3 linked regions of the Callithrix jacchus genome follow. The protein of the gene in region 2 interacts with the protein of the main gene of each other region in a pairwise test. Links are inferred from orthologs where the notes say so. Each region holds a gene or a part of one and is shown on either strand. Other genes may lie near its edges. The genes, in order: CRCT1, NUP62 and XPO6.

The links.
Region 1: the proteins of NUP62 (region 2) and CRCT1 interact in binary tests that used the Homo sapiens proteins (3 or more experiments, as listed by UniProt). The two-hybrid records come from large-scale screens. The link is inferred for Callithrix jacchus from reciprocal best matches to the Homo sapiens genes NUP62 and CRCT1.
Region 3: the proteins of NUP62 (region 2) and XPO6 interact in binary tests that used the Homo sapiens proteins (3 or more experiments, as listed by UniProt). The link is inferred for Callithrix jacchus from reciprocal best matches to the Homo sapiens genes NUP62 and XPO6.

Annotation. Positions count from the first base shown.
Region 1 is NC_133519.1:12,722,108-12,727,822, forward strand, and holds CRCT1 (cysteine-rich C-terminal protein 1), read right to left. Parts: upstream 3,476-5,715; 5' UTR 3,405-3,475; intron 2,296-3,404; 5' UTR 2,274-2,295; coding exon 1,956-2,273; 3' UTR 1,631-1,955; downstream 1-1,630.
Region 2 is NC_133523.1:43,684,874-43,689,799, reverse strand, and holds part of NUP62 (nuclear pore glycoprotein p62), read left to right. Parts: intron 1-3,014; 5' UTR 3,015-3,078; coding exon 3,079-4,656; 3' UTR 4,657-4,926. UniProt on the Homo sapiens protein: Essential component of the nuclear pore complex. The N-terminal is probably involved in nucleocytoplasmic transport.
Region 3 is NC_133513.1:28,798,810-28,804,668, forward strand, and holds the start of XPO6 (exportin-6), read right to left. Parts: upstream 3,434-5,859; 5' UTR 2,778-3,433; coding exon 2,775-2,777; intron 1,619-2,774; exon of another isoform or gene 1,521-1,618; intron 545-1,520; exon of another isoform or gene 482-544; intron 1-481. UniProt on the Homo sapiens protein: Mediates the nuclear export of actin and profilin-actin complexes in somatic cells.

The sequences.
Region 1 (5,715 bases), on a different chromosome or scaffold from region 2:
CACCAGCTGCCGGGTGGATGCCATGACAGAGCTCTCCACTCATGGGGTCACCAAGGGAGCAGCACCCAAGAAGCTGAGCTGCAATTTTCTGAGAACCTGGGTGTGTCCAGAGGCTCAAGTGCCCCTTCCCTGGGTGGTGGTGATTTCTAAGACAGCAGAGCATGACTCTTTGAGTGTGAGGGCATGATTTTGGAGACACACATTCCGGTTTGAGTCTCTTCTGCCTCACTCACCATCTGGGTGCTTTGGACATTCACTACCTCTGTGATTCCAGCCAAATCATTGGAACTGTCTAAACCCATTTCCTCACATATAAAAAGTGGTGAAGTGAATGTCTATATTTTTAGATTACTGAGAAGATGAAGTGAGATAATATATGTAAAATGTCTTGCCTTGTGCCTGAGATAAAGTTAGCGCCAAATAAGTGGTAACTACTGTTACTCTCATTATCACCATTATTATCTCTTCCTTCCAAACGCAGCAGACATCATGCAGAGGATGTTGGTCTCCTGTTTCCTCATGCCGGAAATGAGTGGATAACATCTGTGTCCACAGGGACAGGTTTCTGACCTAGGCAAGATGACCCCTCCACTGCGGCTGCCACTGCCACAGCCACCATCTCTAGAGAATGAAAGCTCCACGTTTCCGAGCACACATGTTGCATCACAGAGATTCCCAGAAACCCATGGCTCTTGGTCATGCTTCGGCTGCACAAGTGAGACCTGGAGAGGGCAGCTTCCAGTTTCCTGGAAGGCTCATCTTAGGAAACAGTTTCTCCCCAGCAAGCAAAGCAGTGGGTCAATAATCTTTCATGGCAGAAAAAAAAAAAAAAAAAAAAAAGACAGTTGGCTTGATTCCAAAGCCCCCAAGAGTTGCCAAAACAAACTTTTGCCACACCGCTGCCTGGACCTGATGGTCAGGAGGACAAGCGCTTCAGTGGTAAGGCTTGGGAAGCCCTGGTAAGGACGAAGCAGAGCAACGAGCCCTGGTAAGGACGAAGCAGAGCAATGAAGCCCTGGAATCAGATGTCCTGTATTCATCTTATACTGGCTGGGTGATTTTGAGCAAGTTGCTTAACCTCAGTTTCTCTTCTGTAAAATGGGTATAACAGCATTTTACTAGCAAGTCATTATGAGAATCATATGGTGGCACATAAAGTCCTTAAAATACTCGAAACAGTGGCTCACGCCTGTAATCCCAGCACTTTGGGAGGCCAAGGTGGGTGGATCACGAGGTCAGGAGATCGAGACCATCCTGGTCAACATGGTGAGACCCCGTCTCTACTAAAAATACAAAAAATTAGCTGGGCATGGTGGCGCGTGCCTGTAATCCCAGCTACTTGGGAGGCTGAGGCAGGGGAATTGCCTGAACCCAGGAGGCGGAGGTTGCGGTGAGCCGAGATTGCGCCATTGCACTCCAGCCTGGGTAACGAGAGTGAAACTCCGTCTCAAAAAAAAAAAAAGAAAAAAAAAAAAATACTCGAAACAGTCAATATGTAATCGCTGCTACTGTAATGATCAGAAAGCCACCTTTTCATTCCGGCATGTATTATAGTTTTCTGCCTTTCACAAACATTTCAAGCCTTTCAAACTGCGGGGAAAAACGAATGAAGAACAAATAAGACAAGGCGTTCTCAGGAGGTAGAAGCTTTATTATGACATCTTCAGAGGACAATGGAACCAGTAGACATTTACCGAGCACCTGCTGTATGCAAACCCGTGCAGACAGTAGGGTCCAATGTCCCACCCACGGCTCTCGAATCCCCAGGGAGAAAAATCACATGAGGGTCAGGGAGTCTTCCGTGGCTGAGAACAGAGTGGATTTCCGAACATCAAAGTGCAATTCGCTTTACGGGGCAAACTCCGAGGCCCAGCCCCGCGTGGGAGCCACGGCGGGGCGGGCCCGCTCAGGGCTGGGCGGGTTTGTCTAGCGCAGCGCCGGGTGCTGCGGGCCCCTCAGCAGCCGGAGCAGCAGCCAGAGCCCTGGTTGTTGGAGCGCTGGGACCTCTGGCTGCCGCCCCCGCAGCAGCAGCAGCCGCGACCCCGCTGCCGGCGGCGCCTCCTTGGGAAGCAGCAGCAGCTGGTGGAGCTGGAGCCACAGCAGCCCCCGTCGGAGCCGCAGCAGCCCCCGTCCGAGCCGCAGCAGCCGCCCCCGCAGCAGGAGGAGGAGGAGGCGGGCGCCGGGGTGGGCGCCGGGGCCTGGCACGGAGCCGGGCCCTGGGACGACCCCTTGGAAAAGCCTTTGGCGGAAGCGGCGCTCTGCTGAGAAGACATCGCGGAGCTCCTCACGACGAACCTGGAAGAAAGACAGCCTTTCAAAGGCGAGCCGGCTTTTCTTTCCGCCAGTGGATCTCTGTCTGGTCTTTTGAGATTCGGTTTAGTGTGAAAGTCAGCCTGGCCTGGGGCAAGGAGTGGGGGAAGCACCCAGAAAGAGCGTATTTAAAAATACAAATCCAAGCAGGTGCTTCCAAGGAGTTAAACATGCTCAGAGCAGGACACAGTCTATGCAAATAATCGATACTTTTCCATTTTCTCTGACTAGAAGAGGACCGCTCAAGTTCCCCGCGGTGGAAAATAGCATAGTACCGCAACCTATCTGTGTGATCCAGTCCAGAATCTCCACCTGGCTTTTTTCGTCTCTCATTTTACTTTGCTACCGACCTTCGATGATATTTCCTAGTTGCTAGCATTGTATAAACACCCCATCACTTAGAAAACACCCAAGTACCACACGCGTCCCTACCTGCTGGTTCTAAATAATCCACCGGCCAGAAGCATGTCCTGCTCATCCTCTCTTGCCTATGCGTCTCATGCCCCACAAACACATGGGAAAAGAAGAGTTGTGCTAATAGAAATAAACCCGTCCACGGTGGCTCAAGCCTGTAATCCCAGCACTTTGGGAGGCCGAGGCGGGTGGATCACGAGGTCAAGAGATCGAGACCATCCTGGTCAACGTGGTGAAACCCCGTCTCTACTAAAAATACAAAAAATTAGCCGGGCATGGTGGTGCATGCCTATAATCCCAGATACTCAGGAGGCTGAGGCAGGAGAATTGCCTGAACCCGGGAGGCGGAGGTTGCGGTGAGCCGAGATCGCACCATTGCCTGGGTAACAAGAGCAAAACTCCGTCTCAAAGAAAAGGAAAGAAAGAAACCCGTCCAGGGAGCCAGAAGACCCGGGTTCTAGTCACAGCTCTTCTAGGGACTTGCTGTGTACCCTTGCAAAAGCCGCCTCCTGTATTGCCTTTATGTCCTTATTAGTGCCTTGAAAGGTTGGATCACTTGAAGCTGAGGTGCCTTGCAGCGCTCCCATTCCACATCTATCTGCTGCCTTTGTTCTGTTTTCTCCTCCCCTGTGCCCTCAACTCCTCCCATCCTCTCCCCAAGACCCTGCTAGGAGACTTACCAGACCTTGGCTCCGCTGGAAGACTCTCTATGTTCTCCAACTGGAATGAGCCACCTGCTAGGCAATGGATTGAGCAGTGTCCAGCCAGAACCTTTTATATATCAAAGAGGGTCAGGTTGGGGCCCTTGGGAGGGGCCCATTTCCCAACAGACATGCTCAGCTGACGCTCACATCCCAGAGACATTCATCACTCAGGTAGCACTGTAGGTGGTGCACGTGTGTATCCAAGTCACTTCGCAGAGGTGCCAGGATTGCTATGGCATGTTTACTTTCCAAATAGGGCACTGTTCATAGCTGGGAGGCTGTGTGAATGCTAACAGAAGGCGTGGGGGCTCAAAGGAAGGGAAGTCTGGAACCCCTTCTGCTCATGTCTGCAATACACACACACACACATACACACACACACACACATACACACACACACACACACGGCTCCACTTGCCCACACATCCGTTCCTGTGTGGTCATCTACTTGGTAGGTGGGAGTTCACCTATCTGTTATCTTGATTCTCATCTCTCTGGCTTTTGGTCCTTGGCTCCCCAGGGCAGACCACAAGCTATGTGATAAGCCTGCTGGGTTTCATCCATATGCTTCAAGATGCGGTGAGTGAAGATGATAACAGAGATGCATATGTAGGAAGCCCAGGGGTGATTTCTCTCTGTCACTGGAGACAGGAAGGAAATCATAGGCAAAGTTAAGGAACCATAATGCTGGAAAAGTTGTGAGTGTAGTCAGGTTACCATATCCCCATAATGCAGCTCAGTATGACTAAGAGAAAAATGTGTGCAGGACGGTGGCCCAACTGCAAAAAGGCAAGTCAGCCTGGGGGACGTCTGCTCCTTATCCCACCCGCAACCACCCACCTCCCTTTGAAGATAGGTTCTCCCTAGGGGCACTGCCCACCGCAAAAGAAAAGAAAGAAGATGGGAAAGGAAGAAGAAAAGAGGGAGGGAAAGAAGGAAAATAAGAGAAAGTTCTTTCCAAAGGTCCAAAGTGTGCATGATATACAGTGTTTTTGGAATAACTAATTTTTAAAAATTGAAGGATACTTTGGCAGTCAACTTCAGAACTGCTTCTTAATCAGTGCAATTGCCCACAACTATGAATGTGAACTATACTCAAAAGTCCAAGACTGAGAATTCAAGAATTAAGGGTGAGAGACAGGTTTAGGGGTGAGTGAACAGGGAGCGGCACGAGGGGATTAGCAAGGAAAGATAAGTCACAAAAGATACCAGTTTCATCTAACATCGATTTAGAGCCTGATTAACAGGTTCCCAGTACCTAGGGCACCTGTTGGTGAGTATAGGTGAGACATTCCAAAAAGTGCAGTCAATATTGGAACAGAGAGGGAAGTAATGAAATGACAAGACAGAGGCAGGATCTCCTAGGTGGAAATGGGTAAAGTTCTTTAAAATAAAAAAGAGTGAAGAATGTTTGGTAGGAATCAGCATGATGATCTGGGAAAGTGCCTGCTCATTCTGTGGACATGCTATGATCTCATAAACTAATGTACTTTATGTATCGTTGTTAACTCTTATCAAAGGAGGCATCCATTGTTTATCTTGTATATAAAAGGCTAATTTGGAATTAACTTTTCTAGTGTGAGTATATCCTGAAGGAACCAGCCCATTCCTAAAGAAATGTTACTTGGAAAACCCAACACAGTGACAAAACCCCATACTCTTACCACCTCTCACTATGCACACACACCCACACACAAACACATCAACCACACACCCAAACACACACACACAAACACACACACACAAATACAAACACACACACAAATACACACAAACACACACACCAACCACACCCCAACACACGCACACAAACACACAAATACAAACACACACACCAACCACACACACAAACACACAAACATCAACCACACACCCCAACACATGCACATAAACACACACAAATACACACACACACCAGCCACACACACACACAAATACAAACATACACACACAAATACACACTAACACACAAATACACACAAACACACACACCAGCCACACACACACACACGCCAGCCACACACACACACACCAACCACACACAAAACACACAAACACATCAACCACACACCCAAACACGCACACAAACACACACAAACACACAAATACACACACACACCAGCCACACACACACACACAAATACAAACACACACAAATACACACTAACACACAAATACACACAAACACACACGCCAGCCACACACACACAAATACAAACACACAAACACACCAACCACACACACAAACACACAAACACATCAACCACACACCCAAACACACGCACAC
Region 2 (4,926 bases):
TTTGCCATGTTGGTCAGGCTAGTCTCAAACTCCTGACCTCAGGTGATCCAGCCACCTCAGCTTCCCCAAGGGCTGGGATTACAGGCATGAGCCACCACACCCAGCCTACTTTTTCGAGATGGGGTCTCACTCTGTTGTGCAGGCTGGAGTGCAGTGGTGCAGTCACGGCTCACTTGCAGCCTCCACCTCCCTGGGCTCCAATGGTCTTCCCACTTCAGCCTCCCAAGTAGCTGGGACTGCAGGTGCCCCCTTGGCCAACTTGTTTTTGTAGTTTTTGTAGAGACAGGATCATACTATGTTGGCCAGGCTGGTCTCGAATTCCTGGGCTCAAGCAATCCTGCCACCTCGGCCTGCCAAAGTGCTGGGATTACAGGTGTGAGCCACCACGCAAGCCGTATTATATCTAAACTGCGTGCATCAGTGCTGGATCAGTATGGGCTGCCATTGTGAATAGATCCCAGGCATCTGAAGTGTTGGAAACCAACGATGCACTTAATCAGTGGTGAACTGTGAAGCCAGATAAGGCCCCACAGGAGATTGTTTTTCTTGTAGTTTTCGTTTGTTTGTTTCTTGAGACAGAGTCTTGCTCTGTGGCCAGACTGGAATGCAGTGGCGCGATCTCAACTCACTGCAGCCTCAGCCTCCCGAGTAGCTGGGATTACAGGTGCCCACTACCATGCCTGGCTAATTCTTTGTATTTTAGTAGAGACGTGGTTTCACTATGTTGGCCAGGATGGTCTTGATCTTCTGACCTCGTGATCCGTGCGCCTTGGCCTCCCAAAGTGCTGAGATCAGCGTGAGCCACCACACCCCGCCCTCTTGTAGTTGTATGCGCGTGTGTGTGTGTTCTCTTGTAGTTTTTTAATAGTTGCAAAGAGCTTTTTATAAATGTTTTTCTTGGAAATTTTAGCTACGGCTTATTAATAGCAAAAGCTTTTTTAAGCTGAGTTCTTGAGAACTGAGATGGGTAGGCGTAGCTGCTCAGATGCCTTTAGCTGCTGGGAACCACACACGGGCTCAAGGTGGCTCCTCAGTGAGGACCTGTGTTCTGCCCACAGCGGGAGGACTGGGTGCGGCCAGGCAGGGCCCCAGCAGTCCTGGGGGCTCAGGCACTTGCCGTGGCCTCTTGAAGAGACCTTTCTCAGAATTCCCCAGGAGAGCTTTATGAAAATGCCAGGGCCAACATCCCAGCCCTGCAGAGACTCTTGTGTTTGAAACGCTGCCAGGCGGTGCTCATGGACACCCACTGAGATCCACTGACTTGGACACGGCAGAGCCCCATGCGGCTGGCCCCCCGGTCGTCTCCCCAGACTTGCTTGGCTGTGTGGAGGAGGAGGGGCAGATGAAACAAAAATGAGGGCCTTGAGGAAGGCAGAATGGTACAGTGGAATGGGTGGGGGTAGTGAGGCAGGTTTCCTCTGATTCAAGCTAGAAGGGGATTTCCTGAGGGCAGACACCAAGAAACTTGAAAACTGGCCTGGAGAGAGGGAAGAGGAAACAGACCTCGTGGGTGTTTCTCTGGGCCAGGCACTTGGCTTCTCAGTCGTGACTTTGTTCATTCTTTTTTTTGAGACAGGGTCTCGCTCTCTCCATTCCCAGCTTCTCGAGCTGCTTATGCCTTCCCTGGTTCCTGGCCTTCGCCATCTTCAGATTCGAAAGCGCACCACTCCGGTCTGCTTTCGGCACCAAGCTTTCCTGTCTGCCCGAGTCAGTCACATCCACCCGGGCTCTGTCTTCTAGGGACACTTCTGATCATCTTCAGGGCTCACACCTATAGTCCTAGCACTTTGGGAGGCCAAGGAGGAAGGATTGCTTGAGCCCAGGAGTTCAAGACCAGGGCAGCAGAGATCCGGTTTCTACAAAATAAAAAAAGATTAGCTGAGCATGGTGGCTTGCACCTGTAATCCCAGCTACTCTGGGAGGCTGAGGTGGGAGAATCACTTGGGCCTAGGAGGTCAAGGCTGCAGTGAGCTGTGATTGTGTCAGTGCATTACAGCTGGTATGACAGAGCAAAACCTTTTCCCAAAAGAAAAAAAGAAAATCACCGCTGTCCAGCACTCCCTCACCTCTTCCTCTCCAGGTGACCTTTGAGCTTCCCGCTGATGGATGGCGCCACTGGAGCTTTTTCAGTTTGACATTACCAAAATCCAGTCAGTTTGAACATGGAGATGCTCTGGCCCATGGGGCTTCTGGGGTGCTCTTTATCCCTCCCCGACCCATCTCTGGTGGGGCTCATGGTCTCCTGTGATGTCCCAGTGTCTGCAGATAGATGGTTGAGAACATATCCAGGGGAGGCTCAGGTGCAATCCTCTGTACCACACCTACAGGTGAAGGAGGCAGCTGCCTCCCCCAGGGGAGGCTCTGATTGGCTGGCTCAGGTCTCAGTTTATCCTTGAGCCAATCACTGCAGCCAAGGGCATCTGTGTTCTGATTGAGCACATGGGTTTCAGACACCCCCCCACCCCAAGTTAAGAGAGGGCGTTCCAGCGTCCTTGCCTGCTAGAGAGTGCAGGTGTGGGGGCCTTCAGCAGCCCAGGCTCTGCCATCTGGCCTGAGTTCCCAGCCCCATGTGTCTCTGTGAGGTCCGGAGAGGCCCTTAGGGAGGCATGAGCTGATCTGCTCACGCCCTGCTAGCGTCAGTGGGGGAATGTCACTGGGTCCCATGCTGAGAGCAGGTCCTACAGCTGTTCCTCTGTGTCCTAGTCCCACTGGTGGCAGTGCCTCACATTTCATCCCCTCCTCGGACCGAGGTGGGTCCAGGGTTCTGCTCTTCCGCCTCCGCCTCCACAGAGTGGGAGCTTCCACTGTGCTAAACGTGGCCATGCACATCCCTAGCACCCCGGCTCCTCATACCTGACCCCTGGCGCGTGCGCTGGTGCTTTCGGATCCTCCTCGGTTTAGCAGGGCCTGGTTTAGGTTACACAGGAAGAAGAGGGGTTGCGTGCCACTGAGTTTGCCTTTCCAAAACTGCCATCTGACAATGTCGCTTCCTCTGCTTTACAAATCTTCCCAAGGTTGCAGACACCGACGGATTTGCTTTCGGAGCTGGAGTAGCTGCCGCCATCAGAGTCTGGAGCCATGAGCGGGTTTAATTTTGGAGGCACTGGGGCCCCTACAGGCGGGTTCACGTTTGGCACTGCGAAGACGGCAACCACCACACCTGCCACAGGGTTTTCTTTCTCCACCTCTGGCACCGGAGGGTTTAATTTTGGGGCTCCCTCCCAAGCAGCCGCAAGTACCCCTTCCACCAGCCTTTTCTCACTTGCCACGCAGACTCCGGCCACACAGACGCCGGGCTTTAGTTTTGGAACAGCAACTCCTGCTTCCGGGGGAACTGGGTTTTCTTTGGGGACCGGTGCTTCAAAGCTAAACCTGAGCAATGCAGCTGCCACCCCAGCCATGGCAAACCCCAGCGGCTTTGGGCTGGGCAGCAGCAGCCTCACTAATGCCATGCCGAGCACCGCCACCTCCAGCCAGGGCACAGCACCCACTGGCTTTGTGTTTGGCCCCCCCACCACCTCAGTGGCTCCAGCCACCACATCGGGAGGGTTCTTGTTCACTGGTGGAAGCACGGCCCAAACCTCTGGTTTCAACATTGGCTCAGCGGGGAATTCAGCCCAGCCCACGGCACCTGCCGGGTTGTCCTTCACTCCGGCCACGCCAGCAGCCACCACAGCAGGCGCCACTCAGCCAGCTGCGCCCACACCAATGGCCACCACCACCAGTGCTGGGCCCACCCTCTTTGCCTCAATAGCAACCGCTCCAACCTCGTCCGCCACCACCGGCCTCTCCCTCTGTACCCCTGCAACCACAGCAGGAGCCCCTGCCACTGGGACACTGGGCTTCAGCTTAAAAGCACCCGGAGCAACTTCCGGCACCTCCACAACAACATCCACTGCTGCCATCACCACCACCAGTAGCACCAGCAGCAGCAGCAGCACCGGCAGCACCAGCTTTGCCTTGAATTTAAAACCACTGGCGCCAGCCGGGATCCCCAGCAATACGGCAGCCGCCGTGACTGCTCCACCTGGCCCTGGTGCAGCCGCAGGGGTGGCCGCCACCTCCGCCATGACCTACGCACAGCTAGAGAGCCTGATCAACAAATGGAGCCTGGAGCTGGAGGACCAAGAGCGGCACTTCCTCCAGCAGGCCACCCAGGTCAACGCCTGGGACCGCACACTGATCGAGAACGGGGAGAAGATCACCACCCTGCACCGAGAAGTGGAGAAGGTGAAGCTGGACCAGAAGAGGCTGGACCAGGAGCTCGACTTCATCCTGTCCCAGCAGAAGGAGCTGGAAGACCTGCTGAGCCCACTGGAGGAGCTGGTCAAGGAGCAGAGCGGGACCATCTACCTGCAGCACGCGGATGAGGAGCGCGAGAAGACCTACAAGCTGGCCGAGAACATCGATGCGCAGCTGAAGCGCATGGCCCAGGACCTCAAGGACATCATCGAGCACCTGAACACGTCCGGGGCCCCCGCCGACACCAGCGACCCGCTGCAGCAGATCTGCAAGATCCTCAACGCACACATGGACTCGCTGCAGTGGATCGACCAGAACTCCGCCCTGCTGCAGAGGAAGGTGGAGGAGGTGACCAAGGTGTGCGAGGGCCGGCGCAAGGAGCAGGAGCGCAGCTTCCGCATCACCTTTGACTGAGCCACCGCGGGTCCCCAGGGAGTCCCACGGGGGGGTGTGCCCTGTGGTCTGGTGTGGGGTTACAGCAGCATACTTGTTTCTTGCTTTCCTTCGCGTGACTGTGCCCTGGAGACAGCTGCTCTGTGCTTTGACTTTCCCCATTTAGGGAGTGTTCTGAGCCCTCTGCCCGGGCAGCAGCCTCATGGGTGTGGCTTCTGTGGCTTTCATTTCAGTGGCTTTGGCCCCTTTTTACCCACAGCAAACACCCATCTCATCCTGCCTCAGTCAGAT
Region 3 (5,859 bases), on a different chromosome or scaffold from region 2:
AAAATTCACTTGAAAGATTTGTACACCTGTATTCATAACAGGATTATTCACAAGAGCCAAAGGCTAGAAGCAACCCGTTTATCCACTGATGGATGAAAGGATAAACGAAATGTGGCACATACACACAATGGAATTCAGCCTTCAAAAGGAAGGAAGCTCTGACACATGCCATGACACGGATGAACCCAGAGAACACCGCGCCATGTGAAATAAGCCAGTCACAACAGGTCAGACACTGCCTGATTCCACTTCTATGAGTGACCTAAAGTAGTCAAATTCATAGGAATAGAAAGTAAAGTGGGGTGGGGGAGAGACTGAGAAATGAGGGGTACAGGTTGATTTGGGAAAAATCTTCCGAGATGGATGGTGGTGATGACTGCACAACAGTGTGAATGCTCTTAATGTCACTGAACAGTACACTTAAAAATAGTTAAACTGGCAAATTTTTATTATGTATATTTTACAATTAAAAAAACAAAGTAAGTGTTACAGCTCTTTTAGAATTTGTCTCTTTTGAATTTCTGATTTGGGCCAGAAAGCCCCCCAAAAAATAAAATAATTAAATAAAATTTTAAAGAATATTGAGGCCAGGCATGGTGGCTCACACCTGCAATCCCAATACTTTGGAAGGCCAAGGTAAGTAGATCATCAGAGGTCAGGAGTTCGAGATCAGCCTAACCAACATGGTGAAACGCTGTCTCTACTAAAAACAAAAATTAGCTGGGCATGGTGGCACAAGCCTGCCATCCCAGCTACTCCAGAGGCTGAAGCAGAAGAATCACTTAAACCAAAGAGGCGGAGGTTGCAGTGAGCTGAGATTACACCACTGCACTCCAGCCTGGGTGACAAGAACAAAACTCCGTCTCAAAAAAAAAAAAAAACGCTGGGCATGGTGACTCAGGCCTGGAATCCTCATACTTTGGGAGGTCAAGGCAGATGGATCACCTGAGGTCAGGAGTTCGAGACCAGCCTGGCCAACATGGCAAAACCCCATCTCTACTAAAAAATACAAAAATTAGCTGTGTGTGGTGGCACGCGGCTGTAGTCCCAGCTACTCGGGAGGCTAAGCCAGGAAAATTGCTTGAACATGGGAGGCGGAGGTTGCAGTGAGCGGAGCTCGCACCACTGCACTCCAGCCTGGATGAAAAGAGCTCCATCTCAAAAAAAAAAAAAAAAAGATGCTGAAAGAATAAATGAAGGAAGGAATAAGTGCTACTTTCATCAGCCACTAAATGTTCTACCTCATACCTCTAGATTATTCTTCAATTTCTATCCCCAAATTTCATAGTTGAGGAAATTGGAACTAAGAGCTTACCTGATCTGCCACAATACATACTGTGTACATATGTATGTTAAAATATATAGACTCAGTTGTGCATGGTAGCTCACACCTGTAATCCCAGCACTTTGGGAGACTGGGGGTGAGGGGGATCACTTCAGTTCAGGAGTTCAAGACCAGCCTGGGAAATATGGTGAGACCTCATCTCCACAAAAAATTGGCCAGGCATGGTGGCACGCACCTGTAGTCCCAGCTACTTGGGAGGCTAAGGTGAGAGGACTGCTTGAGCCCAGGAGGTTGAGGCTGCAGTGAGCCATGAACATGCCACTGCACTCCAGCCTAGGAAACAAAGCAAGACCCTGTCTCAAAATAAATAAATAAATAAAATATATACACTATACAAATAGCATATACTTACTGCACAGTGCTGCTCAGCATTCACAGTGTGCTTTATCCAGCTGGCTGTAAAAAACCTCATGACTTACACACTAACCACAAGCCCCTTGAATGTTTTGAAAATCCCACAGGTCCTAAGGTCTGTATCACAAAAGATGTAGCTAGGTCCCTTTCTCTATTACAGCACTAACTTGGGGTAAAATGGGTGACACTGAGGAGAACAGCTCCACCCCTGGAGGTGATCCAGTACTCACCGAGGGCTTACTATGTGCCAAGAGCTGGGGCAGATAAGGGTTCAAACAATTTGGTCTTTGATGGAGCTGTGTCTACCGCAATAGACAGATAAGGCTCAGAAATAATTACAAGAACAAAAAGACAAATGCTTAACAAAGATGTGGGTACACACATTTAGGGGAGTATTGAAGGTATCTATGGGTCTAGAAAACAGGAAAGGTATCTTCAGCAGAGGTCAGAGTATGTAGAACAGCAGCCTCGGTGTCAAAAGATCACGACCATTCCTGACTTCGCCATCACCTGTGCAAGGGACCTCTGTAAATCCCTCTCTCTGTTTCCCCCTATATAAAGCTACAGCTAGGTGAGATGCTTCTCCTACAATCACCCAGCTCTCTAAATGTATTAGAAATGCCCAGGTTCAAATCTTAACTCCGTTACTTAAAAGTTGCTTGACCTTGAGCGGGGGAATTAATTACTCCGTGCCTCAGTCTCCCCACTTCCGAACAGAGGGTTGGTGTGATCATCAAATACTACTGCACGTCAATCACTTCGGGCAGGGCCTTGGCAAGTAGTAAACCCTCAATAAACGGTAGTTATACTGCCGGAGGAGCTGCAGGAGGCAAACACCAGATGCAAGGGTTGTGCCTGCTGTGCTCCCAGGGCCCTCCCAGGCCTGAGCCATCACCCCTGGGGGGATGGGAGTGCAGGGCCGGGGCTGCACACTCTGCACGCATGTGTCACCGGCCAGGCTCGGCACGCGCCTCTCCCCGCCATAGGGAGAAAAGCGATGGCTCAGCAGCCCCGGGGCCCATTCCCACCCCTCCGGCAGGGCACCCCAGGAGGGAAGGGCTCCGATCCCACTTACCATGCTGGCCGGGGAGGGGGCGGCTCAGATGAGCTGGTTCTTGGGCTTCGGACACGTCCCGCTCGCACAGTTCAGGTCATGGTCCCGGCAGACTCGGGAAGTCCCCCGCCCGTGCAAAGACAACCCCTTCTCCACCGGGCCCCGTGGGGACCCTCTAAAAAGGGCAGGGCCACCCGGGTCTCCTCATCGGGGGCCCCGGAGACAATTCATCCAGACCCACCCGCCCCTCCCCAATGAAACTGAAAAAGCAGGAAATGGGGCTCGGATGCCGGCGAGGAGGGCAGCGGCTCGGGACCCCCGCCCGGGCCCGACCCCCGCGGGGGAGGCTGCGGGCCCAGGCAGGGGCTCCCCTGCCTCCGCGGGCAGAGGTGGCGGCGGGCCCGGCCCCGAGGGTGAAGGGGCGGAGGCTGACGGGGCCTCGGCTGCGCGGCCCAGGCGGCCGGCTCAGGGGAGAGGCCTGGGGGCCCGCGCTGTCCTCGCCGTCTCAGCCCACACGGCCACTGCCGCCGCCCCCGAGAGCATCCCTGCTCGCGCCCGCCCCGGAGCCGTCCGCTAGTACCGCGCGGCCGCCCCCGACCAACAGCCCCAACGCGCCGGAAGTGGCGAGCGCCAGGCGGCCTCACAGCGCGGCCGCCGGGCTGCGGCGCTGGAACCGGACCAATCCGGAATCGAGCGGGGCGAGCAGGGGGAGCAGGCGGAGGGCGGGGCGACACCTGACGGCTCCCACTGGCCCCGCCCTCTGGCAACGCCCCCTCTGGCAACGCCTTCTCTAGCCACGCCCTCTGGGCCCACAGCCCGTCTGTCCACGCGGGCTAGCAGCCATCTTGGTAAAGGGAGCCCGGGCTGCCATTTTAGTAAAGGCGCAGTTTCTCTTTCACTTCCTTCGCTCCATTCATTCCACAAAGCTTTACTGAGTGTCTTTTACGTGCGGAGCGTTGCGCTGGCTGGGTGGCGGCACACGGCCTCATGAGCTTACATTCATGCAGTCCACTGGAATATAGTGGACTATGTTAGCCCGGCTATATTCCAGGCGCCGCTGTGGGTGCTAGGTCGAGAAAGATAAACAAAACTTCTATAGTCAAAGTGCTGAGGGGGCAGAGAACGTGTTAAATTCCTGTTCCTAGCCTCCAACCCACTTTACTCGTGAAAGTGCTCATCTTTATTTTATTTTTAGGGACAGGGTCTTGCTGTGTTGCCCAGGCTGGAGTGCAGTAGCGCAGTCGTGGCTCATTGCAGCCCCAACCTCCTGGTGCACCACCATGCCCAGCTAAATATTTTTATTTTTTGCAGAGATGAGGTCTCCCTATGATGCCCGGGTTGGTCTGAGACTCCAGGGCTCAAGCAGTTTTCCCTCCTCAGCCTCCAAAGTGCTGGGATTACAGCTGTGAGTCATCCAGCCAGGCTGAAAGTGCTACTTTTAAGAAACAGAGAGTCAGGAAACTATCCCGAACAGCTGAGACTGAGCCCGCAGGTGTGTGTACTACCTAGATTGGAGCAAATCTATATAACTCTATGGCTCTTGTCAACCTTAAATAACGAGATTGAGAAAATAGGATTAAGTATAGGGTTTATTCAAACCCAAAGCTTGAGAATGGCCAACCAGAAGCATAGATTCAAGTTGCCCTGAATATATGCTCCAATTAGCAGCAGCTACAAATGGTTTTTTTGTTTGCTTGTTTGTTTGTTTGTTTTTAAGACAGGATCTTGCTCTGTCGCCAAGGCTAGAGTGTGGTGTTTTTCTGTTTTCGTTTTTGTTTTTGTTTTTTTTTTTGAGACAGAGTCTTGCTCTGTCTCCCAGGCTGAAGTGCAATGATCCAATCTCGGCTCACTGCGACCTTCACCTCCCGGTTCAAGCAATTCTCCAGCCTCAGCCTCGTGAGTAGCTTGACTACAGGCACCCACCATCATGCCAGGCTAATTTTTGTATTTTTGTAGAGATGGGGTTTTACCATATTGGCCAGTCTGGTCTTGAACTTCTGACCTCAGGTGATCTGCCAGCCTCAGCCTCCCAAAGTGCTGGGATTATAGGCGTGAGGCACCGTGCCTGTCCTCAAGTGGGTTTTTTGTTTTGTTTTTTTAAATTCAGTCTCCGTAGAGACTGTCACAAATTGCCAATGCCGACTATATTTTCAAGTCGTCATGGCAGGGTATTGGGAAAAGTTTTCAATTAGCAATAATCGCGCCTTGTATAAACCTCATTGGCTACGATACTGCCATTGCCCAAAGCTTCTCAAGTGGGTTTTTAAGGAAAAAAGAAGAGGCATAATATAAGGTTGAATAGGAATGGTGAGAAAGTGGAAAAAAAAATAACATAAGCTATTGTCTATACACTGTTCTTTGTATCACAAATTTCAGGAACCCAAAGGAAATGGGGGAGGCAGCTAGTCTGAAACAAAATATCTTTAAACAATTGTCCCCAGGCATGTGGAGGTGGGAGTGTGCCCAAACTCCTATACACAAATCTCAGTGGACCTGAGAAATTTTACATACTTCACATAACTCAGACTGCCCTGAGCTATTTTTCTTTTCTCTCAAACCTCAGTGTGATCTGAATCAATACACCCAGGACTGTTAAAACAAAGATTACTCACTCCACTCATAAACTTTCCCATCCAGTAGGTCTGAGATGTGGCTGAATAATTTACATTTCTAACAAGCTCCTAAATGAAGCTGATGCTGTAGGTCTAGATACCATATGTTAGCCAGACTAGTCTCGAACTCCTGATCCCGGGGGATGTGCCCACCTCAGCCTCCCAAAGTGCTGGGATTACAGGCATAAGCCATGGTGCCCGGCCTCAAGCACATTTATTTTATCAAATCTTTATTGTTGCCCACTAAGTGACAATCACTCTTTCAAGGATTCAATGCTGAGCAAAACAAATATATGTGTGCCCTCATGGAATTTAGAGACAAATTACAGTAATAGATCAGCTATCATTGTGATAACATGAAGGAAAAATTCAATCTATTATAACTTTAATATAGTTTATACACTAATAAGGCCACGGGATCTAAAATAATCTGTCAGATTAGGATGGGGAGGAAGTCAGGAAGTGACATTTATTTAAGCTTTGACCTGAAAGAA